4 linked regions of the Tamandua tetradactyla genome follow. The protein of the gene in region 4 interacts with the protein of the main gene of each other region in a biochemical or structural test. Links are inferred from orthologs where the notes say so. Each region holds a gene or a part of one and is shown on either strand. Other genes may lie near its edges. The genes, in order: EPS15, PTPN1, AXL and GRB2.

The links.
Region 1: the proteins of GRB2 (region 4) and EPS15 form a complex in vitro, tested with the Homo sapiens proteins (2 studies listed by BioGRID, with this or other methods). The link is inferred for Tamandua tetradactyla from reciprocal best matches to the Homo sapiens genes GRB2 and EPS15.
Region 2: the proteins of GRB2 (region 4) and PTPN1 form a complex in vitro, tested with the Homo sapiens proteins (2 studies listed by BioGRID). The link is inferred for Tamandua tetradactyla from reciprocal best matches to the Homo sapiens genes GRB2 and PTPN1.
Region 3: the proteins of GRB2 (region 4) and AXL form a complex in vitro, tested with the Homo sapiens proteins (2 studies listed by BioGRID, with this or other methods). The link is inferred for Tamandua tetradactyla from reciprocal best matches to the Homo sapiens genes GRB2 and AXL.

Annotation. Positions count from the first base shown.
Region 1 is NC_135328.1:170,658,176-170,665,946, reverse strand, and holds the start of EPS15 (epidermal growth factor receptor substrate 15), read right to left. Parts: upstream 3,010-7,771; 5' UTR 2,847-3,009; coding exon 2,814-2,846; intron 1-2,813. UniProt on the Homo sapiens protein: Involved in cell growth regulation. May be involved in the regulation of mitogenic signals and control of cell proliferation. Involved in the internalization of ligand-inducible receptors of the receptor tyrosine kinase (RTK) type, in particular EGFR.
Region 2 is NC_135327.1:2,307,393-2,315,213, reverse strand, and holds the start of PTPN1 (tyrosine-protein phosphatase non-receptor type 1), read left to right. Parts: upstream 1-4,808; 5' UTR 4,809-7,821. UniProt on the Homo sapiens protein: Tyrosine-protein phosphatase which acts as a regulator of endoplasmic reticulum unfolded protein response. Mediates dephosphorylation of EIF2AK3/PERK; inactivating the protein kinase activity of EIF2AK3/PERK.
Region 3 is NC_135342.1:22,537,788-22,545,687, reverse strand, and holds the start of AXL (tyrosine-protein kinase receptor UFO), read left to right. Parts: upstream 1-4,895; 5' UTR 4,896-5,219; coding exon 5,220-5,283; intron 5,284-5,449; exon of another isoform or gene 5,450-5,601; intron 5,602-6,231; coding exon 6,232-6,457; intron 6,458-6,772; coding exon 6,773-6,873; intron 6,874-7,301; coding exon 7,302-7,478; intron 7,479-7,900. UniProt on the Homo sapiens protein: Receptor tyrosine kinase that transduces signals from the extracellular matrix into the cytoplasm by binding growth factor GAS6 and which is thus regulating many physiological processes including cell survival, cell proliferation, migration and differentiation.
Region 4 is NC_135332.1:15,811,361-15,818,974, forward strand, and holds the start of GRB2 (growth factor receptor-bound protein 2), read right to left. Parts: upstream 3,017-7,614; 5' UTR 2,804-3,016; intron 2,236-2,803; exon of another isoform or gene 2,102-2,235; intron 1,689-2,101; exon of another isoform or gene 1,492-1,688; intron 1-1,491. UniProt on the Homo sapiens protein: Non-enzymatic adapter protein that plays a pivotal role in precisely regulated signaling cascades from cell surface receptors to cellular responses, including signaling transduction and gene expression.

The sequences.
Region 1 (7,771 bases), on a different chromosome or scaffold from region 4:
AAGAACTAGAAAGGTCCTTAGATCTGCTAGCTCAAACTCCCTTACTAGAATGTAAACTCCACGGAGGCAATAACTGTCATCTATTTTGTTCACTAGCATATCCTCAGTTGGCAGAGTTGAAAATGGAACTAGAGTTTCATTACTCTAATATTCTTATCCTCTCTAGAAGCTAATATACAATTTACTTTAGTTTGGGGGTTGGGAGATTGAGGGTTGGGTGGCAAGCAGGGGAAGAGGAAGGAAGGCATAAATTAAAATATTTTTCACATTTCCCTCCCCCGCAACTGTCAGTTGCGCTTAATCAATAAAGGCAGAAAATCATAAACAAGACAATCCCAACACAGTGTCTAGCACATAATACTTAAATATTTGTTAAAATGAACCTACCTCAAACCCATCATTATCTCACAACCAGAGGCAGAAACTAATTTCAGTATCCTTTTAATCTTTATAACTGCCATAGAGTGTTTTAGAATTTTCAATCATTCATTTGACAAACATTGACTAATCATTTTCTTCAAGATGGGCACTGGGGGAGAGAGAGGAATTAAAAGCTACCCTTGCCCTGAAGGATTTCTCACTCCAGTATGCCTACATGTTGGGGGAGGGGGAAAAGGGTGAGGAAGGCAGGGGGTGACATAAATATATCAATAATGAATGTGAGACCAGATTGCATTATCTCAAATTAAGCAGTTAAACTCAAGCAGTTAAAAAATGTTTTTAATTAAAAACCTACATATCTGCAAAGTTCTACAATAACAAGGAGGCACATTAGTGTATACTAACAATTGAAAAGGTTCTTTTTTACTGGGCCTTTACAATATATCTCACTGCCTTTCAATATTCTAAAATCAAAATAGTCTAAAGTGATTTTTTCGAATTATCAATATAAATGAACCATCAATGTAGTATGTTCTCTCATCTTTGAAACACTGAGGAACAACACTCGTTCCTAATTCATCATTTACTGTGGGTACAGGTTAACTCCTAAATATATAACTACAAGAACATAAATCACTTAGGTGACTACAAACCTGATAGAACCTGAAGCAAATCACCAAAATGAATGAGAGAAAAGAGATATTTTAAAAACAGTATTACCCAGGGAGAAACTAAAGTTTACACACAACTAAGAAGCAAATCTATAAAAGTCTTCAAAAGAACAAAAGTATCAGAGGAGAAAACTCCTGCCAGAATTAGCCAAGAGAGCCAAAGAGCAGTAGCCTGCCAAAAGGGATCTTGTTTAGTACATGTCACTAACTACACTCAGAAAGCTAACACCCAAAAGTCAATGTTGCCATTCTTCAAATTTGAATTTCAGGCAGACCCTTCCAAAGAGATTCAAGACCAAGACTCTAGCCACCACATTCCATATTAAAGGGGTCTTCCCTGCTATCTGCTTTTCAAATCAGGATAACTAACACCAAATAAATGCAGAAATAAACATTCACTTATGAGACTGTTATTTCCTGCAAACTGAAGTTTGTTATTTTACCTGCAGCACTTGTTCATTAGTAACTCCTGGTTCCTGGGAGAAGACATTTATCACTAAGTTTCTGTTGTGGAGTACTAGGCACAAAATAGCAAGGCCTCTTGTTTCTACACAGAAGATCCTACTGCCTTATTAAACACCGACAAATCCAAGCCAAGAAGACTACAAGGTAACAGAAAAATTCCACACGGTGGGCAGGAAGGTTGGGCCCCAACATGGAAGTATATGGCCCTGTTCGGGTCAGAGGGAGAGGAAGGGATTGGCAGACACCTGTCATCTCATCATACCGGCTATCATACTGGCCAACTACAATTGGCTTTCTTTGACAGAGAGGGAGGAAAGAGGTTCTCTGAGTAAGTGATGTTGGGAGGTCTTCTGTGAAGCACAAGGACTGGTCTCTGAAGGAAGCAAAAAGGCAAGAGGAAAAGACCTTAAAGAACAGATTTTGGTGAAGATTCCCCAGGACAAGTAATCTCAGTGAATGTTCCCAGGACCAAGACTAGAGGAAGCAAACGCTTGTTTCAAGGCTGTTTCCCTCTTGTACGCTTGGAGAGGGATTAAGTGAGAGCCCACCTGGCAGGGGTGGAGGTGGATTTGGAAAGGAAAAGACTCGAAATCGGGATCTGGCCCAGAAGATAACCTGACCGGGAGGGGAAGAAACTCAACTCAATAAGGAGTTAGCAGAGTGAGTACATTGATAGGATGAGGATGACTGAAGAAAACTGCTGGGGAGGAGGGTGATTTCATTGGACTCCAGTAGGCAAAAAAAAAAAAAGCCGACTTAAAGGGGAAAGACTAGTTTCGAGTGAGCTTGTGCGTCGGGAAGGTAATTCTGAGGGGGGAAGCGCGCTGCCTTGCCAAGAGGGCGAGCCTCGTGCGGGGCGAGGGCTGAAGCAGGGGGTCAGGATGGTCCACGCGAGCTCAACACGGAGCTCACCTGGGAGTGCGTCTGGCCTGGAAGAAGGAAACTTTCTTGGGTCGGTGAAAGCTGACTGGAGTGAGAAGGGCCGGGCATGGGTTGATCCAAGCGGGGGACACGGTCCACTCAGCAGCGGCGAAGAGGGGCCGGTCGGGGGGCGAGGGGGGGGCACTGAGGGACCCGGGGCGGGGTCGCGGCTGCCGTCGCTGAGCTACCGGCTCGGGATGGCGCCCTCCCCCAGTCACTCACACGCTGCTTCTCATCAACACCGGCCGCCAGGCTAGCGAACCTGGAGAAGCTGCCCGGGTCGGCGAACCTAACGACAGTGGGGGAAGAAGTCTGGAGCCACGAATAGGCCAGGCACCGGCCGGGGGACCCCGGCGGCCGGGCGGGTGGCGTTACCTGTGTCAGGGAAAGCTGGGCCGCCGCAGCCATGGTGTTTCCATCATGCACAGGAGGGGAAGGAAGGACTGGCGGACGGAGACTCGGGCGGGGAGGAGGCGGAGGGAGCGGCCGGAGGCGAGGCCCGGGCAGGCGGGCGTCTACCCCAACTTCGACAACTTCCCTCCTCTTGCCCGCCCCGCCCCGCCTGGCCCCGCCCCCCGCCCGCCCGGCGAAGGCCGCGGCGGAACCCAAACCTCGGCACTGGAGTTTGAGCCGCCAGACCGGAGCTGCCTGTCCTCGGGGCTGCCTGAGAAAAGCCCGCGCGAATAGGAAATTAAGGCAGACGGGGCTGCGGAGTGGGAGGGGAATCCTGATTGTCCTGTGATCTTTGGGCAGGTCACCTACCTAGTCCGGAGCTTCTGTTTTTTGAAAAATGGGAGAAATTTATACCCACAGTCCAGGTAGCTTGTGAGGGCTAAATGAGATAATAATGGTAAAGAATAACAGCACTTTGTATGTCCCAGGCTCTGTGCCAGACGCTTTAATTTTTTTAATTGTATGAATGAGGGAACTGAGACGCAAATAAGTGTCTTGCCTAAGATCATACACCTGAGTAGATAAACTGGATTAGAATCCAGGTCTGACTCCAAAATCTTTCATTTAACCATCTACTATTGGAGTATGATATCACTGTCTCTCCAAGTCAAAATCTAGGTGAGAGGGGGAAAAAAATCCTTTCCTCGCCTGCTGGCTGCCGCAAATGGATTGGCCAATAAAAGAACACAGCCCTGCTTAGATGCCTGCATCACCTCCTAACTCTTGCTTTAATCTATCTAGCAAACTCCTCCTCATTCCTTCAGACGAAACTCAAGTGTCAACTCCTCTGGAAAACTATTTCCTGACCTCTTCAAATCAGAGTTACTCTCTTCTTCAGTTCAACATTTCTTCTTTTAGGAAGTCATCATCACCTGAATGACTGTTTATATCTGTTTTCTTGCTAGACTGAGCTCCTCAATGACAACGGCTGTTTCTGATATATTTCTGTCCTCAGACCTTAGCATGTAGTAGGTGCTCAGTGAGTGTTTGCATGTCTTAGTCCCTGCCTGCATTAAATGTAAGACTTCCTAGACTTTCCCATGCTGCCACCTTCAGTTGGAATAACCAACCAGTCATTTGAAACCCTCATCTTCAAAGGTCTGGCTTATATGCCATCTCCTTCAAGAAGCCTTCTAGGAATTCCCCACCCCACCTCTTAATTGCTCTGATACGATCCTTATTACAATCTGCCTTGTTTTTAAGAGTTAGTTGAGGGCTTGTCTACACCCCACTAAACTGAGGACATATGGCCGACTCTCTACCACAACCACTCACAGTTTAACCCAGCCCAGAGAGCGCTTCGATAAATATCTTTGCCCAGAACTGGTCTCCCTTTCTCAGTCACTGTGGCTTCCCATGACAATTAACCACAACTCTATCAAGCCCACACCCCTGATACCATTATCATAGCAGTCCTCATTTGATGCCCTAGGAGCGCCAATTGAACAAACCCATGATGGAGCTGACCCCACCTAAGTTTTTAGACCTTTTCCACTATAGGCAAACCATCCCAAAAATGTCCCCAGGGACACCTAACTTTGCTCAGACCCCTTCAACAAGGTCCATCCATTAAGAGCAAGTAATACAGGTCTGTTGTGCAATCACTTATTTAACAAAGAGTCTTCCTTGGCCTCTTTTTGCTATTTTTCTTTTTGCCTCAAGGGTGAAGGGGAGACACTGTTTTAAATGACTCTGCTTTGGTATGTTTATCAGCTAGAACCACAACTGATGTCTCTATTGGAATTTTCTATTTCATGTTATCACATTTGAGCTTCACAGCCACCTGAGAAGATAGTGATCATCATATGCACCTTACAGATGAGGAAACTGGGCATAACAGAGACTAAAGGGATTTTCCCAGTCACACTGCTAATAGCCAAAGCAGTGTAGTGTAGTGGAAAAGCAGTGCAGTGTGATACTGTGAACTAGTAATTGTATACATGGATGATTTGTATGGTGTGTGAATATATCTCAATAAAATTGCATTAAGAAAAAAAAAGCAGTGCAGTGTAGTGGAAAAAACAGTGCTCAGACATCAGAAACACCCATTTTCTAGCTGTAAGACATTAAGGTAGTTGTGAAGATAAATGAGATAAGATGTAGGAAAATGCCTAAAGCTGTAGGTACATGAATTTAGTTAAGAAATCTGAAAGTGGTAGAGCAACTTGATTTTGGGAGTTTACTTTTACTTGCTGTTCCAGTCTGCTAGCTGCCGGAATGCAATATACCAGAAATGGAATGGCTTTTAAAAGAGGGAATTTATTAAGTTGCAAATTTATAGTTCTAAGGCCATGAAAATGACCTAATTAAAGCAAGTCTATAAAAATGTCCAAATTAAGGCACCAACAAGAGGTTACCTTCACTCAAGAAAGGCTGATGAAGTTCAGGGTTTCTCTCTCAGCTGGAAAGACACATGGAGAACATGATGACATCTGCTAGCTTTCTCTTCAGGCTTCTTGTTTCGTGAAGACGTTTTCCTTCTTAATCTCCAAGGGCGTCTGGCTGCATAGGCTCTCATGGTTCTTAGGAGTCTGCTCTGTTGCTCTCTCTTTCTCCAAAATGCTTCCTCTTTTAAAAGATTCTAGTAAACAAGTCAAAACCCACCTGGAATTGGTGGAGTCACAGCTCCCTCTAATCCGAGGTTAATAGCCACAATTGGGTGAGTCACATCTCCATGGAGATAATCTAATTGAGTTTCCAGTGTATAGTACAGAATAGAGATTAAAAGAAATGGTTGCTCTCACTGGATCAGGATTAAAACATGACTTTTCTAGGGTACATAAATCCTTTCAAACCAACACACTTGCTGTTCAAGAAGTCTCCTCCAAACCATATAAGATACAAGATGTTATTCTGGTTGAATAGAGTCGAGTCCCTGGTGTACACACTCCTAGAAAAGGAGTGTGCAGTAGTAACACTGAAATAGAATATTGAAGTCATTTAGTATGTGAGTTCAGACAGAGCATTTAAATTATCTGAACTTCAATCTCTCATATGTGAAAATTAGCAAATCACAGTTTGCTAATCACAAAATTAGCAGTATGGAAGTTTTTGAGGAAATATAAGGAATTATTATTATTTAATACAACTTATAATAAGTAGAAAATGGCAGCTAATATTTGTGCAGTATTGCTCCTCACAGTTTATAAATGTTTTTACATACAACATTTAGCACAACTTCTGGCATCTAGTAGTTGTGGCGAAAGTGTTAAACAGAACTATATACATAATCTCATTTGTAATTATTTGGATCTCCATTTCATACATGAGAAAACCAAAGAACACATTTTTTATAACTAATTTGTTTAAGGAAGGATCACTGAAAGCAGATTTGGGCCTTAGAGAAGAAAAAGAAAAGGGAAGGGAAGGGAAGAAAAGAAAAGGGAAAGGAAAAAAGAAAAGAAAATGTGCTAGTTTGAAACTGTTATGTATATGTACCCCAGAAAAGCCATGTTCTTTTAATCTAATCTTGTGGGGGTAGACATATTGTTGGGTAAGACCTTTTGATTAGGTTATTTGACCCCACCCATTCAAAGTGAGTCTTAATCTACTTACTGGAGTCCTTTCAGAGAGACATTTTGGAGAAAAGCACAAATGCTTGAAGAAAGAAAATGCCCCAGCAGAAACCAGAAGGACCCACAGGAGCTGAGAGCCATTTTGAAACCAACCCAGGAGAGAAGAGCCAGCAGACGTCACCATGTGCCCTCCCATGTGACAGAGGAACCCAGATGCAGTTGGCCTTACTTCAGTGAAGGTTTCCTCTTGTTAATGCCTTAATTTGGACATTTCCATGCCCTAGAATTGTAACTTAATAAATCCCCTTTTTAAAAGCCAGTGCTGGGGTGCACGGGTAGTTCAGTGGTTAGAATTCCTGCCTTCCATGCAGGAGACCTGAGTTCAATTCCTGGACCATGCACCACCACCAACAACAACCCAAAAAAAATGCAGAAAAGCCAATGCTTTAGTGCGGTGCAATGGTGGCTCAGTGGCAGAATTCTCATCTGCCATGCCAGAGACCTGGGTTTAATTTCTGGCTGCCCATGCAGGAAAAAAAAAAAAAAATCCAATGCTTTAGCAGACCAAAACAGAAGAGAGAAAAATTTTATGAAATTTGCCCCAGGCTCCCTTCCATACTACCAATAATTTGTGCCACCAACTTCCTCCCCTCCTTGGCTCTGGATTAAATCAATAACTTGATAAGTAGTAGGGGATGGAAGCAGGTCTACAGGGGTGGGAGAAAATGGTCCAAACTCCTAAAAAGGCCTAAAACGTCTGGAACTGGATTTTTTAAACTGACACAGCAGTGATAGTTTGCAAATGTGTGTCCCAGATCTCATCAAAGCACTAGGTCATATCCCAAATCTATTTTAGGAGAGCAAAATGTAGCTAATGGAAGATATGTTATGATCTAATTCACTGTAACAAGAATGAGCTTCAAGGAGCAGACTAAAAAGACTTACCTGTTTTTTCTAGGACACTTTAAAGCCTCTGGGTCTCTAAGCCTCTGATTCCTCATGTGTACATTGTAGATAATACTTACCCTGTAGGGTGGTGTAAGGATTAGAGACAATACATAAATGGCCTATCAAAAAACCTGGCCTAAAATTTGTATCTTGGGTAGCACATTACCTAATTTAACTCATATGGCCTGTTTAGTTGAACGCTGTAAGTACATGGAATCTTGAATAGGGCATGAGATCTTGTTGGTCTGTCCAGGTTAATGTAATGCCCTGATAAATCCCAGAGTAATTTGGGCAGTAAATAAGGAAGTATTTGCAAAGTCCCCTTGGGGGACTGGGAAGAAAGGGGGAAATATTCAACTTCCCCAACTGGAGAATTTCTGATATTCTCACAAGCAGTGGGGACAACCAAATCAATAG
Region 2 (7,821 bases), on a different chromosome or scaffold from region 4:
TCTGCAATCATCTTCAAGAAACATGGCTACCGAAAACAGCTCTACATTTTCAGACAGTTCCCTCCAGCCTCTCTGTTGCATCTTAACTAAAAAGGTGGTATCTGTATAATGCGTAAGAATAATCTCCAGGATAACCTCTTGACTATGTTTGAAATCTCTCAGCCACTGACACTTTATTTTGCCTCATTTGTCTCTTCCTCCTTTCAGTCGAGAAGGTTTTCTCAGTCCCTTGGTGCTGAGTCCCAGCTCATTCTAGGATTTCTGTCCCATGTTGCCAGGAAGGTCCACACCCCTGGGAGTCATGTCCCTTGTAGAGTGGGGAGGGCGGTGAGTTTACTTGTCGTTTTGGCTAAGAGAGAGAGAGGCCACATCTGAGCCACAAAAGAGGTTCTCTTGGGGTGACTCTTAACCTAAACTTAAGTAGGCATGGCCTATCCTCTGCAGGGTTTGGTTAATGGTTTTCATTATTTCTATTGTATATACTGAACATGTTTTAACTTTCTGAGGAATAATTTCCACAAATGATTAAATCTTTAGTGTTTAAGAATATTTGCATTTTCTAGTGATTACTTCAATACTGTTATCTTTATACTGTATCCTTAGTTCCCTCAGTTTATACTGTTGCTGTTGATTCCCAGCTGTGAGCAGTATTAATATTAGCTAGTGATCTCTTCATTCCCTTCCAGCATCTAATTGGAAGTATTCCCAGTTGATATCTGTAAAACTATTCAGCAAAATTATTCTACTTTTCAAAAATGCTGCTTGTTTGACTCCCCTTTTCCTGATAGTAGTGCTCTACATTGTCAGGTCTGATAGCCATTACATAGCATGATGCCTTCTTGACACTATACTGTGTCTTGGATCCACTAGTAAATATTATATTGCTCACTATACATTCTTTAAATCTCCCTAATCATTTTGAATCCTGAAGCTCATTCTTCAGTAGGTTCTTCAGCATTTTTGTGTTTTTGGGGTCGTGATGGGGCATTGCACTCACCTGTGAATTGGAATCTGCAGTATCTGCTCCCACTTTAGCTGCTGACACAGATTGGCCTGTCACACTTTCCAATGACGACCTGGTGGTGATGTGGGGTTCTGTTGATCTCAGAGTCATCATCACCTGTTGTCTTTATTCACTTGTCACACAAATACTTCCCATGTGGGGACTGAATAAGCTATTGGTGGTGTGCCCCCACTTACACGTTCAGAATCATAAGGATATCGTGTCTCTAGTTTAATTTTTGTCTGTGGAGTTGGCTGTGTTAGTTTCGCTAGCCTTGTTGCTTTAATTCTTTTTTTTTATGAAGAGGTTCAGGGAGATTGATAAATTATGCTGCTGATGGCACCATCTTCCTGAATCATGAAGTCAGACTAATCTGTTAAAAACATGTATCTGATTGTATCATTCCTCTCTGCTTTTTTTCCCCCCTACTTGTTTTTAAAGTAGAATCTTTTTTTGATACTCTCAATTATGGAAAACTTTAAATATATTGATGTAGAGAGAATAACATAATGAACCTCTGTGTATCCATCACCCAGTTACAACAATTATAAACTCATAACCCATCTTTTCTCATCTCATTACCCCTCCCAGCTCTGAATTGTTTTGAAGCAAATTCCAGCATCATAAATAATTCTTTTAAAAGAAAAAAATTGAATTCTCAGGGACCAGAGGAGCCAGAACCACCTCTACTTTTGATTTGGGGAGGAAAAATATCAAGGAGAGAAACGATATAATCCAGAGGTCTGGAGCATTCACAGTGTGGCCTCTAATTATCTCATGGTAGACTCTGCTAGGCACATGCAAGAAAACATCAAAAGTATTAAATTGTTTCTGTTCTCATGTTCATAAGCAGATTTGTAAAACAAAATCGAAACGTAGCTCTCCATGACAGCTACCTGATTTCTAAGGTCAGGCGAAGCAAATTTCGTTTTACGTATATTTAGTTGAAAAGCAATGCTCAGAGTAACTACTTCAAATAGCATCTACCAAGGCAGTGTTTACTCATCCCTGCCTGAATTTTTTCAAAGAGAGAGCAAGTTCTCAAAGTTGGTTTGACTCTTGGTACTTTCCTATGCAGTCATTATTTTGTTTCCACTATCTGCCTCTTGCTGTTTATGTTTTCTTCCTTCCAAATCCATAACTTTCACTTTGGTTCTTTCTGAACTGTTTAGTGTACTCATTCATTAAGTCTTTATTGAGTGCCTGCTGTCTGCAGGAATTGCGCTGCAGGGAACTGTTTAACGTACTCATTCATTAAGTCTTTATTGAGTACCTGCTGTCTGCAGGAATTGCACTGCAGTGAAGTGTTTAGCATACTCATTCATTAAGTCTTTATTGAGTGCCTGCTGTCTGCAGGAATTGCGCTGCAGTGGTGAACAAGCCAAATCTGGTTTCTTTGAGATGGACAGCTTATACTCCATCACTTCTGGAAAGTCTTTCGTGCCCTGGTAGGTGGAAACAAGAAGTTTAGAAGTTGTACATGTGCCCTGGGCACTGGGACTTGCGTCACAGGCTGTTGTAGTGTGGATGTGGGCGTGCTCCCTTCTTTCTGACCTTTGGTGTGATTAATGCAAGGACTTATAGAGTGACTCAAGCTTTTGACGTTGCTCCAGTGGAGAATGGCCATCTCTTCTCTACCCTGACTCGGGGCCCTCACCATTGCTGAGGTTTCCTTTCAAGCAACAGTGCCGAAACAGGGTGGAGAAACAGCGTAGACATAACTGTACGATTTATTTCCTCATATTGACGCCAACCAGAGTCTGAAAGGAGCAGCAACAGGTCACCAGTGCCTGGAAACTCACTCTGTGTTTCTTCTCCACCAGATGTTGGCTGTCCCGCAGTTTCTCCTGAATTCATTACTGCGGTTTTACTAGCTAACCTTGGTTCCTTTCCCTCTTCCTGTAGGTTGGGTTTCCCCTCTGAGCATTACTTTCTCCTCAGTAGTATTTGTTGGTGGCACAGTAAGTCTTTCCCCACCATGTGGGAACCCACTGAGGTCAGGTCCATTATTTAACTACCTGCCTGGTCAACACTTGGCACACAACTTGGAATGCAAGGACAGAGATTGGTTGGAAGTATATTGTGCACTTGGTTGTGAAGGTGAGCCCAAAACTTGGCTATGTCAGCTTATGTAAAAGTTAGTCTTAAAGAGTATGCTTAGGTGGTAAAACCAGTTACCTTTGAAAGTATTTTATATTTTTGGCTTTTAAACTATCCTGTCCTCTAATAAACTTATCTTAGTGAAATTTTATAGTTTACTCTGAGTAATCTTGTGAAGACTGATTTGTTCAGCACAATATGGAAAACAGACATTCTAAATGATTTTTAAGAAAAAAGTATATTTTAATTTTTATTAATAAAACCAATCAACATACAGCATGAACATTCTTAACATGTGAACATTCCATACTTGATGTACAATCAGTGACTTACAGTATCATCACATAATTGTATATTCATCAACATGATCATTTCTCAAAACATTTACATCACTCCAGAAAAAGAAATAAAAAGAAAAAAGAAGAAAACTCATACATATCATACCCCTTACCCTTCCCTTTCATTGACAACTAGTATTTCCCTCTACCCAATTTATTTTAACATTTGTTCCCTCATTATTTGTTTATTTTTAATCCATATTTTTTACTCATCTGTCCATACTGTAATAAAAGGAGCATCAGAACTAGGTTTTCACAGTCACACAGTCACTTTGCGAAAGCTAGTACAAATATTCTTGATGAATGAAAATATGACTAAATTTTAGTGGTTTTGAAGTTATCTTGATTTTTTGGAAAGTGTTTATCCTAATTCTGTACCTAGTAATGTGTATATGGGTTTTGGTTCCTGTGCAGTTTTAGTTGTGGTATTAATGCTGAGCAAGCCCTTTTAAGGAAGGATTTTGTATCTGTCAGACTTTGAATGCTTCTAAAAATTGATCATATGTTATTAGCAGAGGATCACTGCCTGCTTCCATAGTAAAGAAGATTTATTTTTTTATGCATTCAGTTCTAAGAAGGCAGCTGTGATCTAAAGACCATGAGACTGTTGCCCAAGGTTTATGAATGGAGAGGGGGGAGAGATAGAACTCTTGAACAAAATCTTGTTTTATTACATATATTGAGGCGGTAAGGTGTACTAATTTTTTGAGATACTGCTTTTTTAAGCTGGGTATTATTTGAAGAAGCTACTCTGTTGCTTTTCAACTAAATATACTTAAAATTTGTTTCACCTGATGTTCAAAATCACGTAACTGTCATGGAAAGCGATGTTTTTTGTTTTTTTTTAATGTAACATCTGCTTATGAACATGAGAACAGAAATGATTTAATTAATGTTTTAGTGTATTTCGCTACAAATTTATTCCCAAATAATACACATCAGTCAAATACAAAAAAGTAAGTAAATTTGAACTAGAGTATTATAATTGCAGAAATTCTCTTGTAGTTTTAAAATATTCCCTGTATTTTAATCTCTTGTATTCATGATTTTTAATTTGCTAAATGGTTGCCAGAATGACTAACCTACATCATCTTCTGTTACCTGTTTGTCTTAAAAACTCTAATTGTAATGGCTCATCCATCTATAAAAAAAAGTAATTTGTTCATTCTGAAATCAGAATTACCAGATGCAGCTGCATTTTGTTACTGTTTGAGTTTAGTGAGAGGGAAGAGGATGTAGCCTTTTGAACTACTGCAATATGCAAACACAAAAATTAAACTGAGCATGGTTATGGAGCCCGTACGCTGACTGAACCAGAAGAAACTCCTATTCTTAGCGTGGTATGTGGCTTTAAAGGCAGTATAAAGACTGTTGAAGGAAAATAAACTCCAGATGGATTAAGGTCAAATGTTAAAAAAAAAAATGCAGAGGAAGAAGACTTTCTAACTTTAGAAGCAGTAAGGGAAGTCATAGTGGAAAAAGGTCAATAGGTTTGAATACATAAAAAATAAAACCGCTCTAAAGCTTTCTTTTGCACAAGTAATACATATTCACTCTAGAATAAAATTGAAAAGCAAAAGAAAATTAAAACCACTCATTATCCTATTAAGCAGTGGTAGCAGTTCTGTTATAGCTATATTGACAATTTTGTGATTGTCCTTTCAGACTTTAACTTCCCATACATAAGATGTGTCAAATGTTCAGACAAATAAATTTTTAAAAAAGTGGTTTCCAGTGAAGACAAAGAGTTAATGACTTAAATATATATGTGAAGAACTTACATGAATAAAGAGGAGACTGATATTCCAAAGGATAAGTAAGCAAAGGAGAGAAAGAGACAAGTCACTCTGTATGAGGTGTCTAGCAGACATTGAGCGCCTGGGAGTCAAGTTAGGTTTTTGTATTAAAGTTGTGCTTCCTGTGCACATAAACAGCTGTTAGAAGGGACAGATAAGCTTTATATTGTTGTTTATATATTTTATTGGAACATTTTGAGGTATAATGACCGAGATATAAATTACAATGTGTGGAAAACATTTTTCTTTAAATGGGCTTTCAGAAGATAATATATAAGAATGTATTCATGAATTTGGGCATCTGCAGATGTTTCGTAAGCAAGAACCAAAAAGCTGACTATAAAGAAGAGTATTTATTAATTTAATTACATTTCAGTGATGAACTTTTGTTCCTCAAAAGACACCATAAGTGTGTGTGGTAGGCTATTTGCATAACTATCCAGGAATTCCTCCCTTTCTTGTCTGTATGTTCCTTTGAGTGTGGCTCCCATTGAGAGGTGGAGTCTCTTTCTTCACTTTTGAATTTGTGCTTGGCCATAGCCCTAACTCTCTGGCCAATAAGATCCTTAACTTAAGTGACTTAAGCAGAGACCTCCAAAAGTAGTTGCATGTTGGGCCTTGCCCTCCCTTGCTTATCTTTTAGAATTCTGTAAACACTAGCATGTGCACAAGCCCAGGCTAGCCTGTTGGCTGGTGAGCAACAGAAGACCTGGTTAACCTTCATCATCCTTGCTGAAAGCCAGCCATGTGAGTGAGGCCATTGGACCACCTGCCAAAACTGCATGTGTGAGCCCAGCCACCATCACACGGAACCAAGTCAAGCCATCCCACCTGAACTCAGTCCAAATGGCCAACCCATAGTAGGATCATGAGCAAACAAGTAGTTATTGTATGCCCCTGAGTTTTGAGGTGGTTTGAAACGTAGAAAACACTAACTGATATATAAAGAATGAAAAGCAAGCCACAGACTGGAAGATATTTGCAAGATGTATGACCATCAAAGTGCTTATGCCCAAGATATATAAGGAATGCCTGCATATCACCAGGAAAAAGACAGACAGGTTAATAGAAAAAAGTGGACAAATAACTTGAGCAGATGGTTCACTAATGAGAATACGTAAACCATCCAGTAAGTGTATGAAAAGGTATGTACCAGTATTACTCATCAGGGAAATGTAAACTAAAGTCAGTGAGATAACTCTGTATGACCAGTTAAAATAGCAAGTGTTGACAAAGATGTGGGATCAGCTGGAACTCATCCTGTTGGTGAGGGGCAAATTGACATAACCACTTTAGAAAACTGTTTGGCTATACCTACTAAAGCAAATCAATATACATCTTCTTTGTTGGCTCCCCCTTAGCTATATAGACAAGAGAAATGTGTAAGAGGTGGGCCAAAAGACATGCTCTATAATTTTCTTAGCAGCATTATAATAGCCAGACACTGGAAACAACCCAGATCGTCCATCAATAGTAGTCAAGTAGTCAGGATATATACGTTGTAATATTACTTTGTAATACAAGGAAATACTGTGCAGCAGTGAAAAAGTGTGGATTCCTCCTACACGCAGTGACATGGATGAATTTCTTGATCATCACATTAAGCAAATGAAACCAGAAACAAAAGAGGACATGCTTTAGGAATCCATTTACATGAAGTTCAAGCAGTCATAACTATCATATCAGAGGTTAGGAGGGTGTTTACCTTTGGTAAGGGGGTAGTGACTGGAGAAGGCATAAATAGAGCTAATGGGTACTGAAATATTCTCTTTCTTGGCTTGGGTTGTGGTTGTATCAGTGTGTTTACTTACAAACATTTGTCAAGCTGAATACTTATGATTTGTGTTCTTTTCTGTACTTTCTATTCCTCTATGTGTTTTTCTGTAGATGTTATACCTAGTAATTAAGTTTATTATTTTTTTTAAAAAGCCTAAAGGCTGCCCACGGTGGCTCAGCAGGCAAGAACGCTTGCCTGGAATGTCAGAGGACCCGGGTTCTATTCCCGGTGCCTGCCCATGTATTTAAAAAAAAAAAAAAAAGCCTAAAGTTTCAGGAAACTGATAACATTAGAAAAACAGTATTGAAACCCATCTGAGTGTGGTGTTTCTAAGTTAGAGTAATAGTCGTCATTGTAATTAATGTAAAGTCTAACTGGTTAAACACATATATATATATATATTTTCTTGGAGTTTCCAACTTTTATTTCTGTGAAATTCTGCTCTTCAGGATACATGCTTTATTTCTCCAGCCCAAAATGCAGTGGTATTAATAAATTGTTCTCACTTTTGTATTTGCTTATTTATTTCATCCTGTCTGGTGTAATGCGCACTATAACTTTGTTAGAGTTTCTAAAACCTGTCAGTTGTTGGGAGTTTCCCCTGGATAGATGTAAACTTTGAGCTGTGTTTATTTTCATCATAAGAAAGGTGTAGCCATTCTGTGTTGTGTAAAACATTTTGGTGGGGATTACCTTGTGATTAGGTTCCCTGAGAACCTGCCTGTCACCAGGCCCTCCGTTGGCTCTTCCCCCATTTTAATTCATCTTGTACACCTTACCCACAAACCTTATACCCTCCTCCCACAC
Region 3 (7,900 bases), on a different chromosome or scaffold from region 4:
CTGGCACGAGAAAGAGCAGCCCTTCCTGGCTCTCGCCACCACACAGGCACACGGAGACCCCACTCCTGTCCACGGCCCTAATGCCCGCTCCCTTCCTGCGCCGCCCCCTCTCCAGGCACGACCCGCCACACTCCCCAGCCATTGAGTCACACGGACAGGACAGTGGACGTGGGGCGCCGTGGTAGTGGTAGCCCCTCCCCCGAGTATTTTCCTCCCACGGAGAGTCACCACCCACTCCGTCCCACCCTCAGCCCTCAAGCCCTGCTCCCCCAACTCTCCACTGTCCCAGAGTCTCCCAAACACAAACACGTGCCCGGTCTGCAGCTGTGCTTGCCGGGCGCTGGGATCCAGGGGATTTGGGTCACACAGGGGCCTTCAGGGCCGCCCCCCACAAAGCCTCTTCTCCCAGACAAGCCCCAGAGTCCAAGTCCCAGCTAGACCCAGCGGAAGGGGCTCAGGGGGGCTGAGGGAGAGGCTGGGCCTGGCCCCTCTGTGACTTGAAGGTCCTCCCGTTGCAATAAAAGGGTTTCTGGCCTGCGTGTGGGTTTGTGACGCGTGTGGATTTGTGGCCGTGTCTGAAACCCCTCCCAGTCCCCTCCCCCGAGGCCGGGCTGGAGCCGAAAAACATGGTCCCCACCCACCCTGGCTGTTGACATCAGCACCAGATGTGGAGCCCGGTGTGGGGGCCAAGGAGGGGGAGGGCTGGGCCCGGGCGGGGAAGGGGGTGCAGGGAGAAGGGCTCCAGCCTCACCCAAGCTGGGCTGCAGGCCTGGGAAAAGCCAGCCCACGCCCTGGGAACTCCCCGAGTCCGAAAGCAGAGACTTACAGCCCCTCTGCGTGCTTCTCCCACCGCCCTTTTTTTCTGTCTTCTCTTGTCCGGGAAACCAGAGGCGTCTTTTTATTTGCTATAGAGCATGGCAGTTTTTAAACACACCCCAAGGAGAGAGAACGGCCCGATGACCCTCCTGTCCCCATCACCCTCCCCCATTAAAACTCATCAACTTCTTGCTATTTTTATTTCATCTGTCCCTTGATTTCACCTATCACATTGTTTAAGATTATTTTCAAGCACCTCCCAGAAAATAATCAATATGCAGCTCTAACCGCTAAGAACATTCTGCCCCCAATATTGTATTATGAACATTTTCAAACACAGAGAAAGAAAAATAGAAGGACTTTACGGGGAATGCCCATGTGCCATTTCCCAGGTTCTCCCACCAGCATTTTGCTACATTGCTTTCTCACATTTCTAGCCACCTGACCGTCTATCTCAGCTCTTTCATGCTTTTTGAAGGGAACTACAGACATCAGTGCCCCTTCCCCTAATACTTGGATAATGCATTTATCATTAGCCAAGGTTGACTTTAAAAATCAAAACTACATCCTGTGGTCATGCCAATCACAGCTGTCAATTCTGTAATATCAAATACAAATATAATGTTCTCACTGGCCTCATAAATGTAGTTTAGAGTTGACTTGCTCAAATAAGGATGCAAAGAAAGGCCCACCACACAGAGCTCTCGTTTGAAACGTCACTTTGGGTTTTTAAATTAGTTCCTCACCCTTTTTTATTTCGATTTTATCTTCTTTTTTCCCCTCCTCCAACCTTTTTTATGTTATTTCTCGGTGGGGGACGGCGGAAATCAGTCTTTTGTTGTGTACACGTTCTCATATTCTGGATTTGGCTGACAGCATCTTTATGGTGCTGTTTAAAGTGTCCTTCACTCCAGGACCTCCTGTGAACTGGGAATTGCCCAAAAGATGCCAGATCCCTTGTTGTGTCACATCACAATCACTGGTGGTCCCATAGTTTGGGATGCTGAAGTTTGATGGTCCAGTTCCTAATCTCTCCGTGAGGAACTTCCTCATCAACCTTTCACTTTCTAGCCTAAGTAGAGGAATCCTTTAAAAATATGAATCAAACCTGTTCTCTCCCCTGCTCCCCCACTGTCCCCCCACCTCCCCGTGGCTCCCATCAAGTTAGAATAAAAGCCCAAGTCCACGCCAGGCCAAGACACTGAACAACAGGATTGGTCTCTGATCTCACCTCCTTCCTCTTCCACCCCCCCCCCCAATTCATCTGCTCAGGCCACAGTTGTCTTCCTGCAGCTCCTGCCTCTGAGCCTTTGCATTGGCTGTTCCTTCTGCCTGAAACACTCTTCCCCCACATGGTTCATTTCCTAATCTACTTTAGATCTCAGTCTACTGCCCTCTCTAAAATGGCACACCTACCCTTCCCCATCCTCCCCCTGCTTTATTTTTCTTCACTGCCCATCTCACCCCCCTGATGAATATTTATGATTGTCGTCTCTCTTCCCCCTAGAATATGGAATCCCCAGCAGATTCACACAAGTGAAGAGAGACTTTTGAACATATTTGCAACTCCCCCTGCCCCTCCAAAAATGCCACAATTATTCATTTATGGCAGCCCTTCTAAAGGGTGGTGGGGATGAAGATACCCAATCCCTGCCCTCGTAGCATCCCAGAGACCAGCAGGAGGAGACAGACATGAGACACATAATCACACCAATAAATACGTCATGATAGCCCATGCAGTGTTGCCAAAGAAAAGGACAGGGCGTAAGAGTGAGCAACATGGGACCTAGATTAGACTTGGGGGTGGGGGGCAGGCAGCCACTCCAGAGAGGGCTGAGGAGCTGGCTGGGGAGGCTCTGGGGCCTGGGAGGAGGCTGTTTGGGTCAGGAAGTGAAAGAAGCCTGGGGAGGGGGGAGGGAGTGTCCAGTGGAGATAAGGGGACTTTAAAAAAGGCCTCAATAAAGAGTTTGGGGGGTTGTCGTGGAAGGCTGGGCAAGAGGGGGAAAGGGTTTCACTGGGGATTGAAAAAACACGGCCCGGTTGGGAGATGGGCTGGAGAGAGAGGGGCAGCCCGGAGGGCAGGACCCCAGCAGGAAGGGATTGGGAAGGGGTAAAGGGATGGGGAGAGGTTTGTGAGGCTGACCCTAGGACTTGAGAACTGACTGCAGGGTGGGGCCTGCCCTGAAGGGTCAGCCTTGGAAGTTAAGACAGAAGCTGAAATGGGACATAAATGAGACAGCTCAGCGAGGCTGGACCTGCCTAGTAGCTGGGAGCTCACCTCGCAGGCAGTGAGGGAGGCCAAGGTTAAGCAGGAGACCCAGTCTTGTATTTCAGAAACAGCCCTCTGCCTGCGGGGTGGGCGGGAAGCAGGGTGGAGGGAGCAAGAGGGGAGGACAGGGCAGGGGCCCGGGTGGGAGAGGCTGGGGCTGGACCCTGTGGGGTGGAAGGCATTGGAGGTGAAATGGGGGTGAAATAGGTAGGACTTTGAGGTGTGCAGTAGAGGCCGGGAGCAGAGAAATTGCTCCCAGCCCACTCTCCCGCAGACCACTGTATGCAAAACCTAGGGACACAGATGACACACAGAGGCGCCGGCTCTGCGCCTCTGGGACACAATCCCGCTAGGCCAGCCTGCAACCCCAGAGCACAGAGCTGAGCTGCCAAGAGAGCCACCGGTGCCTTGTCAGTGCCAGTCCCACTTGCTAAGGACAATGGGTGCCTTGGCTAGGTTATCTGCCTGCCCTTCCAGCCTGCTGAGGGGGGGTTCTCTGCTTGCTCCCATTTTACAGATGGACTAACCGAGGCCCGGGGAGCAGTCACTTGCCCAAGGTCACTGGTGGTTAATGATAGAGCTGGGGTTCCAACCCCGATGTCTGGGGGATGCCAAGGCTCAGATCTTACCCAGCAGGCTAGACTGCCCCAGGGGTTTCACCCGCCTACACCGGCCTGGTCTTATGCCGACCACAGGGCACCAAGGTGTCCTCAGGGAAGGGCCCAGAGAAGACCCAGACATCGCCCCACGGAGCCCACATTGCTGTTGTAATCCAAGTCCAATGCCGCATAGCAAATCCAGGAGCCTGACCACCCCACTCCCACTCCCACTCCATCTCCCTGTCTGGGGTTCTGTCTGCTCCATCACACTTCTGGGGAGGCCCAGCACTGAGGGGGTGGAGATGGAGCCAAGGAGCCACCAGTCCAGTCCCTCTGTTTCCCTGGAACAGACAGTTCATGGGGTCAGGGCCTGTTGGCAGGAGGGGGCTTGTCGGGGAAGGTACAGGGCCCAGGGCTGGGGGGTGGGCTTACACCAGGAGCTGCTGTTGCTACCTGCACACCACTCTGGCTTCCTTGCAGGAATGGTCCCGGGCATGTCTGTGAGCGTTTCTGTGTAGCTGAACACACTCAAGTTTCCCCATGTCCGTGGATCAGTATTTCCAGGTACACCTGTGACTCCATTTCCCTCCACATCTGCCTGTCCCTGTCGATGTTTCTAGGCTCTCTGCCTATATGTGTGTCTGGGTGTTTTTCCCACGCCTTTGACTCGAATGCTCGCCGACCTGGGAGCATGCCTGTCTTCTGGTATGTCTGACTGTGTGTGTGTGTGTACGTGTGTGCACGTGTGCGTATGCATGTCTGCACCTTATGTGTCTGAGGGTCCATAGGTCCCAGGTGTCCCCGCTGCAGAGGTTTCTCCGGGAGCTGAGTCCCTCACCCGGCTCTCCTGAGCGTGCCTGTGGGCGGACAGCGTGCCCCTGCGAGTCCTGGGTCCCCTGCGTGTCTCTGCCTGTCCCAGCCTCTGCAGGTCCGTGTCTGAGCGTGCGTATGTGTCCTTGTCCCAGGAGCTCTGAGTGTGAGGGGGAGTGAAGGGCCTGGGGAGGCCTGGCTGTGGCTGGGCTGGGTGGGGGACAGCTGGGGGAGGGGAGTCGTGGAGGAATGTTTACCAGACACAGAGAGAGCCCAGAGGGACAGCGCCCAGAGCTGGGACACGGAGACACACAGCCTCCCTGCCTCACCGCTCCAGGATGAGAGGCGCAGCCACAAGGGACTCTTTCCCCCTCCTCAGCTTCCCCCCAGGGCCCCTTTAAGACCGGGCTGGACCCCTCCTCTCCGCCTTAACCCCTCACTGACCAGCTGGCCCCCTGGGCTTGAGCAGTGGGCGGAGGCAGGGGGAGGAGGGAGCCAGGGGCGGGGAAAGGGTTTCCCGAAGTCTGGGAGCAAGAGAAGGAGGCAGGAGAGCCTGGAAGGCGCCGGAGCAGAGCCGGCCGAGGGCCCCCACCGTGCCAGGCGGCCAGTGCCAGACCCCGGGAGCTGGGGGGAGGGCCGGGGACTGCCTGTCCCTGCCCCCTCCCCCGCGGGGTGCCCAGCAACTTCTGAGGAAAGTTCGGCATCGGTTTTGCGGTGGCCCGAGGATGGGCAGGGTCCCTCTGGCCTGGTGCTTGGCGCTCTGGTGCTGGGGGTGCGCGGCCCCCAGGGGTGAGTGGTGGGGGCCGGTGGGGCAGGACCACCGGTGGCGGGGGGGGGGGGGGGCATGGGGGATGGGGGGCAGGAGCGGTGAGAGGGGGGTGGATGGCAGGTGTTGGGGGCGATTCCTGGGCTGGCTCAGAGTGTTTCCTTCGGACGAGAGAAACGGACTGTGAGAGGGAGGCAGGGAAGGACAGAGACTCGAGACAAACCAAGAGAGAGGGGGAGGAAGAGACTCAAGAGAGGAACATGGACAAGAAACAAAAACTGAAGGAGGAGGACACGGACAGAAAGGAGTAGGGGAGGACAAGGCGAAAGCTGAGGGAGCTGGTGGGGGCTGCATTTGAGTCTGGGGTCCTGGGAAGAGGGGCTGAGCTGGGGAGCACCCGAAGGAATCTTCCAGAAAGGAGCCCTATCTCTCTGGCTCTTTCTCTCTCCCTATTCATCTCTGAGTCTCTCTCTGCCTCGATTTCTCTGTGTGTGTGTCTCTCTTCTGTTGCAGTCCCCCTCTGTGTATTTCTCCTCTTTTCCCTTCACTCTCAGGAAAGTCTCTCTTTCTGTCTCGGTACCCCGTGCCTGGCTTTCTCGGGCTTCTCTCTCTGTCTCTCTTATGTTTCTTCTCCCTCCCCTGCCCTTTTCTTCCCCTCCATCCACGAAGCCTGAGCTGTTTGGTCTCCGGAGACCCCAAGTGAGGGCAGGGCTGGCCCTGCTGGGCCTCCAGGCTGTGGGGGCTACCAGACCCCGCTTCCTTCTGAACGGACCCCAGTGCCTAGGAAGGCGCCCATCCTGCCCCCAGAGCCTCCACCCTCCACTGGCCTCTGAGGTCACCCTACAACTATGTGGGCCTGAGGGCTTGGGGGGGGGGTGTCCTGGCAGTGGGTGGGCAGCGGGGGGGGGGGCAGGAAGGGGTGCAGAGGGAAGTGGGGGCCTTTCAGCCAACCTGTCCCATCCACCCTGCAGGTGCACAGGCTGCTGCAGCGGATCCCTTTGTGAGGAGCCCAGGAAACATCACGGGGGCCCGGGGCCTGACGGGGACGCTGCAGTGTGAGCTCCACGTTCACCAGGAGCCCCCCGAGGTGAACTGGCTTCAGGACGGACAGATCCTGGAGCTGGCGGAGAGCACCCAGATCCAGGTGCCCCTGGGTGAGGACGGCGAGGACGACTGGAAGGTGGTCAGCCAACTCAGGTGTCCAGTTTCTTCCCGGCCCCTGCACCCCTCCTGGTCCCTGTCGTCCCCGACCCCTACCCCTATCACAGCCCGCCTGCAGCCCGGCCACCTGGGTTGGAATCCCAGCCTGACCACTTCCTAGCTGTGGGGCATGAAGTGTGTCACAGAACCTCTGGGTTTCACTTTCTTCTTCTGTAAAATGGGATAATAATAGAACCTCCTCCACGGTTCTTTCCGCTTCCCAGTCCAGAGGCCCCTCTTCCGGTTCTGACCAGCCCCTCCCAGTGCCCAGCTCTGACCCTGCACCTCTCTGCCCCCGTCTTGCCCCACCAGGATCTTGTCCCTGCAGCTGTCGGATGCTGGGCGATACCAGTGTATGGTGGTCCTGGAAGGAGGGGCCTTCCTGTCCCGGCCTGGCTATGTGGGGCTGGAGGGTGAGCCCTGGGGGTCCGGGCGCATCTAGCCTAGGACTGTCAGCGATTTTAAGGGATCGGGAAGCTGGGGGGCCATAAATTCTGGCCAGGGGAGGGGACAGGGATGATAGGTCTGCCTGCCGGGCCAGACATGGTGGGAGCAAGACATTCTGTAGACTCAGATAAGGAGGTGAGGATGAGTCAGGCATTCTGGAGGAGAGATTTGGGGGGTCAGAGGTTAAGGGGAGGGGTCAGACATTGGGACCTTATGTCCTAAGGGTTGGAAAGACACCTGGGGGGCAGGGTGTCAGACATCTGAGGGTGAGGCAGGGTCTTTGGCAGGGAGTGTGTCAGATGGGGACAGTCCTGAAGCCTCCAACATAGACACCTGGGGGGGCGGTGCTCAGAGACCTCAGCTTGGACCCCTGCCTGCCATCCCCGCCCCCCAGGCCTGCCTTACTTCCTGGAGGAGCCTGAGGACAGGGCTGTGGCTGCCGACACCCCCTTTAACCTGACCTGCCGGGCCCAGGGACCCCCAGAGCCCGTGGACCTACTCTGGCTGCAGGACGCTGCTCCCGTGGCCTGGGCCTCGCACCAAGGCCCCCACCAAACTCTGCAAGTCGCAGGTGAGCCCGGCCCGGCCCAGCCAGGGAAGGGGGCGGTGCAGACATGGTTCACTGCCTCTGCGTGTCTGCCGGGCCCTCTTGCCTGCTCTGTGTATCTCTGTCTCTGTTTCTGTATCTCTTTGTCTCTGTCGCTGTCTCTGCATCCCTGTCCCCATCTGCCTCCTTGTTTCTGTCCGTATATCTCTCTCTGTTTCTGTCTCTCTGCCACCCATCTCCGTCCCCATCTTTCCATTTCTTTCTCACTGTTTCTGGGTGTCTCGCTCATCTCTGTGTGTTTCTCTGCTCGTTCTTCCTCCATTCAGCCCAGCCTCTCTGTGAATAGACTTCTTTGTCCCGGATGTCCTCTGAGCCGTGTGTGGGCCTGGTGCCCTCTGTCAGCCCCTGACCCCAACCTGGACCCCGGAACCACCGGGGTCTCCTCT
Region 4 (7,614 bases):
TCAGCTGGAAAATGGGGATAACAACAGCACCTACCTTAGAAAGTTATTCTGTTGATTAGAAAGTACAGTCTCTGGCATAAAGTGCTCAAGAGATGCTAACTTGCAAGATCAGACCCTTTTCAAAGAGGGGTCCACATGTTATCACATTAAATCTAAATCTTCCATTTATATATAGACTTAGAAGAACTCTGAAAAATTAAGAGCTCTTTCAAATATAAACTTTAAAATTAAATTATTTCACATCACAGTCCTAACAATAGTCAAATATTTACACATTTAAAAATGAATCACATCAGACAGTCACTTATTCTACTAGGCTTCTAAATATTTACTTTGTATATAGAAGAGCTGTACTTTCGGTTGAGTAACTTTAAGCCACGCTCAGTCTCATTCTTTACCATAAGCAAGCTGCATCCTGGAAGAAAAGTTTTGGTTCACGGATCATCTGCATCAAAACTACCCAAAATTCACAGACAGATTCAGAGTGGTAAGGGGCCCTGGAGTTCTGCAATGAAAGGGCCTTTTGCCCAGAACCTGATTTTAAATAAGAGCCCCAGATGCTTCTTACACATACTAAACTTTAAGAATTACCGCTGTACAATAAAGGCATCTTAAGATTTAAAAATTTACATGCCAGACAGTGAACTACAATGTTTTGTATAAAATGAAAATAACACACATTCACTTGGCACAACTAGAAAAAAGCCATTTTGGACAAAAAAAGAAAGAAAAAGAATCTAAATGGTCATTCAATAATGCTGGAGAGTTCTTCTAATTTAAGCAGGTAACTATTAATTTCTTTTAAATTATGGTAGCTCTCTATTCTGTATTACTTCATTTCTTCAAACATAATGCAATTCTCCTGCTGCTGCATAATATCTGACATGATAACAAGAATTACTGGAAAAAATCTCTAAGTACCATGAAGTATTCAAATCCTAGTAATCCTCCCAAACCTGAATACACTTGCTGAAACTACCTAAAACCATTTATTTAAATGCTTGTTTTCATTATGAAAGAAGGCTGATTATCAAGAACTAATTTCTTTCATCTTGAGATTTGGAAAATTCTGACTATGGGAAGAGGCAACAGAGCAAATAAAGTTATCTATTTCTACCCTCTCAAAAAGGATGCTATCACAAACGTAGGGAAAAGACACTGAGAAAAAATAGTATTTCAATGGGTTAATAATAATTTAACTACCTCATCAATGGTCTAAATAAGTTCTATTCCCTTAAATTTTTCATGTCATCTTAAGGCCATTGCATAATAAGTTTAAATGATTTTCATTTTTTTAACATTAACCGTTACTCCCATTAAAAGTTAAAGTCATACAAGCCCCAAATTGACCCAATCTCCCTAAATATAAATGATACAGGGAAAAAAGCATAAGCAGGCCCAAAAGCACTATCTTAAAGCAAAGAAAACACCAGAACACAAATAACACAAGCAAACTACATTTGTGACCTAGTGGCAGTATCGATTACTTACGGATGAATTCAATCCTTTGAGCCTCCCAGTTCCCAGAGGGACAACTTAAGCTTCCCGTGGAATTCTAGCAACCCTTCTGGCTGGCTGAAGGAACACAGTGACCGCTTAAACGTTAAGGAATGGAAGCCGGAATGAGGGTATCTTCCCAAGAAAGAAAACGGAACCTTTAAATGAGGGAGAGAATGTACAGCCTACACCAAACTGCAGAAGAGGCTTTTGAGACAGGACACTAAGGAGGAAGGGGAAATAGACTGGGGGGGAGGGGAAGGGGAGGGAAGGGAAGGGAAGGGAGGGGGGGAAGTAGATGGGGGGAAGGGAAGGGGAGGGGGGAAGCAAATGACTTGCATTATACAAATAATGCATTTAGTGTCTATGCTAAAATGAAAATACCTAGAGATAGACAGGGAAAGCAATAACTGAAGAAAAAAGTGAAAGAGGGACAAGAGAGCCAAAATAGACAAATGCCAATTTCTTCATGTGTATTTCAAACTATTTTCTGCGTCCACAGAACCAAGTTAGACCTCGAGTGAACTTCAGCTCCTCTGCCAATCGTACTTTTATAGCACTTTAAACCAACCTAGAATAACTTTCTACATAAGCCGAGACTCACAATGCTTACGATATATATTCGTAGAGCTCTGCAAGTGAAAAATCCGTGTTTCTTGCCGAAATCGTTCCTGGGGCATTCCACCCAATTACCCAATTTTTCAGAGTAGCTCCCCCCAACTCCCTCCCCCCCCAAAAAAAACAGCGACAGAAATAATGGCATCTCTCCCGGCTCCGAGAGTAAACGTTCTAACGCACGGTACTGACAAGGTTGGAGGATTCCCTCATGAAATTCGGGCCCCGAACACCAACACTTGGTGACGTGGTGGCCGTGCACGTCGAAGAAGCATCACATTTGCAGCCTGCCCCGAATCCCCCGCCTCCTGGGCTAAGTCAGACTGACTCAGAAAATGAGCACCCAGCGCCTCTCGGGATTCTCCCGAGCCCCTTCAGAGCAAACCCTCAAGATAAACGTGGACTTTCAAGGAGAATCACCCCAAGGGGCCCCCGGGGTCCCAGGCTCTGCCTGAGAGCCGCGGGCGAAGGAAGACAGTCCCCAGGAAGGAAGCGTCCGAAAAGAGGAAACGTGGAGACCCGAGCCCCGGAGACTCCGCTCCTCGTCCCAGGCCTCGCCTACCCGACCCGAGATCCGCGGCCGGCCCGGCGGCCCGGGGCGGGCTCGGCTCGACCCCCGGGGTCGACTCCCGCCGCGGGGCCGGGAGGAAGAGGCACCCGAGCAGCGCCGAACGCCGCCGCCCGCACTCACCGTGGCGCAGCTGTTCTGCTCCGCGCCGGGCCGGCCCCTCCGCAGCGGTGCGAGCGACCGCCGACCCTGCTGCTGCTCCCCTAGGGCAGCGTCTGTGTCCGCCGCCGTCAGAACCAGCTTTCGTGACCGTTGCCGCCGCCACCGCCGCCGCCCGGTTGCCGAAGCACCTCAGCCTCCTCGCTTCCGCTCCTCGTCGGGGTCCCGCGAGAACATCTCCGCGTGGCCCCGCCCCACCCCGCCTCCGCGAGACTTCCCCCGGAGGAAAAGGCCCAGAGCGCAAGCGCTCCTTTTAGGCCGGGCCCTCGCAAGGTAGACACCATCTAGGTGCCAAGGCGCACGCGCCAGGCCGGTCCGCAGCAGGTGGCACTGGGAAGGCTCCGCCCCCTGGTGGCCGTAACCCTCTCGGTGCCAGAGCTAGTAAAGTACGCCGCAGACCCGAAGGTGTAACTCTTTCCAAACCATAGTCATTTTCCCTTCTCCTTACACCACAGCAAGGGAATGAGGGAAGAGGGGATACCTCTCCAACATGAAGCACGCTAAATAGAGGACCGTAACATGAAATGTTTGAGAACCGGTCCATACAAACGCTGCATTGTAAGATGAAATAACGGATTCGTTCGTTCATTAATCAAATCATGCTCCTAATATGTATTAGGTCTAAAAGATCCTACGACGGTCCCCTTGAAGGTGTGGGGAGAAAGAAGGAAATATTCAACTTCCCTATCTAGGGAATTCCTGACATTCTCGCAAGCAGTGGGGACAGTCAAATCAATAGGCTGAGCCTTCAATCAAACTTATTCCTGCAAAGGAGAAGCTAAGCCTACTTATAATTATGCCTGAGTCTCCCCCCAGAGAACCTCTTTTGTGGCTCAGATGTGGGTCTCTCTCTAAGCCAATTCGGTAAATGAACTCACTGCCCTCCTCCCCAAGTAGGATATGACTCCAAGAGGTGTAATTCTCCCTGGTGAAGTGAGACATGACTCCCAGGGATGAGCTGGGATCTGGTCTCATGGAACTGAGAAAGTCTTCTTGACCAAAAGAGGAAAGAAAGAAGTGGAACAAAATAAAGTTTCAGTGGCTAAGAGATTTCAAACCGAGTTGAGAAGTTATCTTGGAGGTTATTCTTTCGCATTATACAGATATTGCTTTTTAGTTTATGGTGTATTGGAGTGGCTGGAGGGAAGTACTTGAAACTGCTGAACTGTGTTCCATTAGTCTTGATTCTTGAAGATGATTATATAACAATATAGCTTTTACAATATGACTGTGTGATTGTGAAAACCTTGTGTCTGATGCTCCTTTTATCCAGGGTATGGGCAGATGAGAAAAAATAAGTATAATAAATAAATAATAGGGGGAGGAGAAAGGGTAAAAAATTGGGTAGATTGAAATACTGGTGGTCAATGAGAGAAAGGAGTAAGGAGTATGGGATATATGAGTTTTTTCTTTTTATTAATTTTTCTGGAGTGATGCAAATGTTCTAAAAATGATCATATTGATGAATACACAGCTATGTGATGATACTGGGAACCATTGATTGTACACCATGTATGGACTGTATCTGTGGGAAGATATCTCAATAAATATGTTTTTAAAAGATAATGAATACTTGGTTAAAGATTAAGAAAAAAGGGTATAACAATGAACAAATATCCCAGCCCTCAAGGAATTCACAGTCTGGAGGAGTAAGACAAGTAAACAATCATATAGCTATTGTTATAATTATTTGGCAAATGTTGAAGATGCTACAGAGATGGAGGGAGGGTTACTTTGCCCATCACAGAAAAGCCCTGGCTGAGAAGGTGATGTGATGATGTTTGGATTGAGTCTTGGAGGATGAGTAGGAGTTCGCCAGGCATAGAAGCTGGAGCAAGGCATTCCACATAAAAAGAACGGTGCCTACAAGGGAACTGAGGCATGAGAAAAAAGGAAGCGTTCTGTGCAAGGCTAAGTAGTTTGATGTCTGTACGTGACTAAGGGGAGTGGCAGAAGACGAGGCTTGGAGAAGTAACTCATTTTTCAGTTCCAAAAGCTCTTTCAATTAAAGGAGAGAACAGAATGCATCTGATGTTAATGTACTTTCTGGAAGCCAACAAAATAGCATTGTAATGAGACTAACCAAACATCTGATTCTGTAGAGAAAGCAAACCCTTTGGAATAAGGGAGGTTTGTTCTTTCACCAAGTATTTATTGGTCATCAACAGTGGGCAAGGTCCTGGGCAGTAAAAGTTGAACCTGACAGAGCCTCTGCTTTCAGCAGTTTGTGATCCAAAGAAACTTGCCTAGTCTGCAAGGCAGAGCAGTTGGCCCTAAGAACCAGTGAACTACATCTAGGACTGCAGAGGAAAGAAGCATTACTTGGAACTGGAACTTGAAAGCAGGGATGAAAGAATGACTGAACCAGTCAATATTTCAGATAGGCCCAGGATTTGGGGGAGAAATTAGATGCAAGGCCAAGATGCACAGCTTAGGTTTCACAGTCAGGTGATGTGCAACCTGCTCTGAAAACTTCTGAGTAGGAGATGTCTAATATGAGGGGACAGTAGAAAGTGGACCATCTATTTAGCATCTGCTTGTACTAAAATTGTAGCTCCTCTACAGCCTGGATAATATCCCTGTTTTACAGATTTGGAAACTGAGGGTCAGAGAGGTAACTAACTTATCCAAGGAAACCCAGATATTGCAGTCCTAAGATTTGAGCCTGTCTTATTCTAAAACCCATGTCTCTCCCCACCATGACACTCTGTTCTATATTGGTGGCCAGTAAAACAAAAATGAAAGGGAAGGACTTGGCAGCTGAGCCAAGAGGAAGAGGGAAGAGAGACAGTTACTTATTTCGTGGAGGCCCTGGGTGACAGAAGAAAACAAATTTACAAATCAAGAGTAGCTGATGGGGCTGGGGGTGGGGGCCATATACCGGGGTGCGGCAGGGGAGTGGGTAAGGAGGTGATGATGATGCCCTAAGTGTGGAAATGTGGAGTCCAGCACTCCAGGAGACATCCAAGTGGAAATATCCAGTATACTGATGAAAAGCTCAATGCATTCAATGATTCTCTGCACCATTTGCTGAGCATCAATTTGACTGAGAACAGAACAACCCCTCTGGGAGTTTGCAGCTTAAAGGGTATAGATGTCCCTCTGGGACTATAATAGGCTATTACTGGTGGTTTTGGCAGCCCACAGGAGGGGACCTGACCTAGTCCAGGATCAGGGAAGGCTGAGGAAGTAGGGTTAAGCTGAGAGCTGAAAGGAGAGTATTCAGTAGGGTAGCCAAACTGAGAGGGAGAGACTGTTTTAGGCAGACTTCACGTGCAAAGATCAGTAAGAGAGAACTCAAGGAAGCCAGTATAGCTGGGACAAGGAGAGAAAATGGGAAGAAGGATGTGGCATGTGGCTGAAACAGTTAGAGCGGCTCATGTGCCTTTTCAACATTGCTCAAGACTTGAGACTTGATGCTGTGAGATACTGAAGCAGGCGTGACCAGCGGTCAGATTTCATTTTCAAAATACTTTATCACTCTGGCTGCAGAATGGAAAATCGATTGGAACTAAGATACAGAGTGCCTACAAGATAAGATCTCCAGTCCTTTGCAAGACTTTTAAAGAGCTGGCCTCTGCTTACCAGCGCCCACCCGCTTAGTCCCCAGCCAACGCTCCCCATCCCCACCCCCATTCCAACACACACTTCACCAGTACTAAACCATTTGTGGTTTGCGGAAGATGCCATGATCTTTTGAGGGTCCATATCTTTATACTAGCTGTTTCCTCTGCCCGGTTGGCCTTCTCCCCTTTGTTAGGTCCCCAAGTCAATTTTAGAGCTCCTTCTCCAAAATTCCTGCCTTACCTCCAATCTCATTGCATTAACGTTTATTTGCTTCTTGGTTTCCTAATAGTCTCCAGGCTTCAGGACAGATACGACCATGCCTTTTCACATTTGTATTGCCAGCACCCAATACAGTGAGTAGCACAAAATAGGGTAAATGAAGTGAATAAATGGATGGATGGATGGATGGATGGATGGGTGGATAAATGGATGAATAAATAACAGAGATACAATGCTGTGGCTGTTTATTTTTTTGCACAGTGGTGATATTTGAAGCTAAGGAAGTGGCTGATATCTCAGCAAAGGTTAGATGCCTAAGAGAACAGAGAAGAAAGTTATATACTTCCTTTGAAAATGCAGCATTAATAAAACAGATTCTGAGTATGCCTATGCATTTGCATAGAGAACAGTTTTGGAAGAGAACATTTAAAAATAAAAACAGTTATCTTGAAATGGTACCAATTGTGGATGAATTTTTAATAAAATCTTAAAGCAGTTACACTGTCAGCTCGATAATTTGTTTTTCTAGACATAGAAATTTGAGAAAATGTTGCCCAAGATTGTTCAATGCAGAGAAAAAAACACAGGAGAGGCATAATATTTGGAATTTATGTATGTGGCTAATGTTAATTAGGGAGATGAAAGTGGAAGAAGGAGCAAGCTGTGAAGTAAAAGTCACACCCTGATATGAAAACCTGTTGTAACTATAGCAAAACTTGCTAATCACAGACTGGTCATCTCAGTCATTTCAGAATAATGAAATTAATCCTCAAAAAGTCTCTGGGGACAACCAAAGCAATAGGGTGAGCCCCCAGTCTTGGGATTTGTTCATATGAAACTTAACCCTGCAAAGGATGGATTAAGCCTACTTAAAATTAGGCCTAAGAGTCACCCCCAAGAGAATCTCTTTTGTTGCTCAGATGTGGCCTCTCTCTCCAGCCAACACAATAAGCAAACTCACTGCCCTCCCCCTCTGTACATGGGATGAC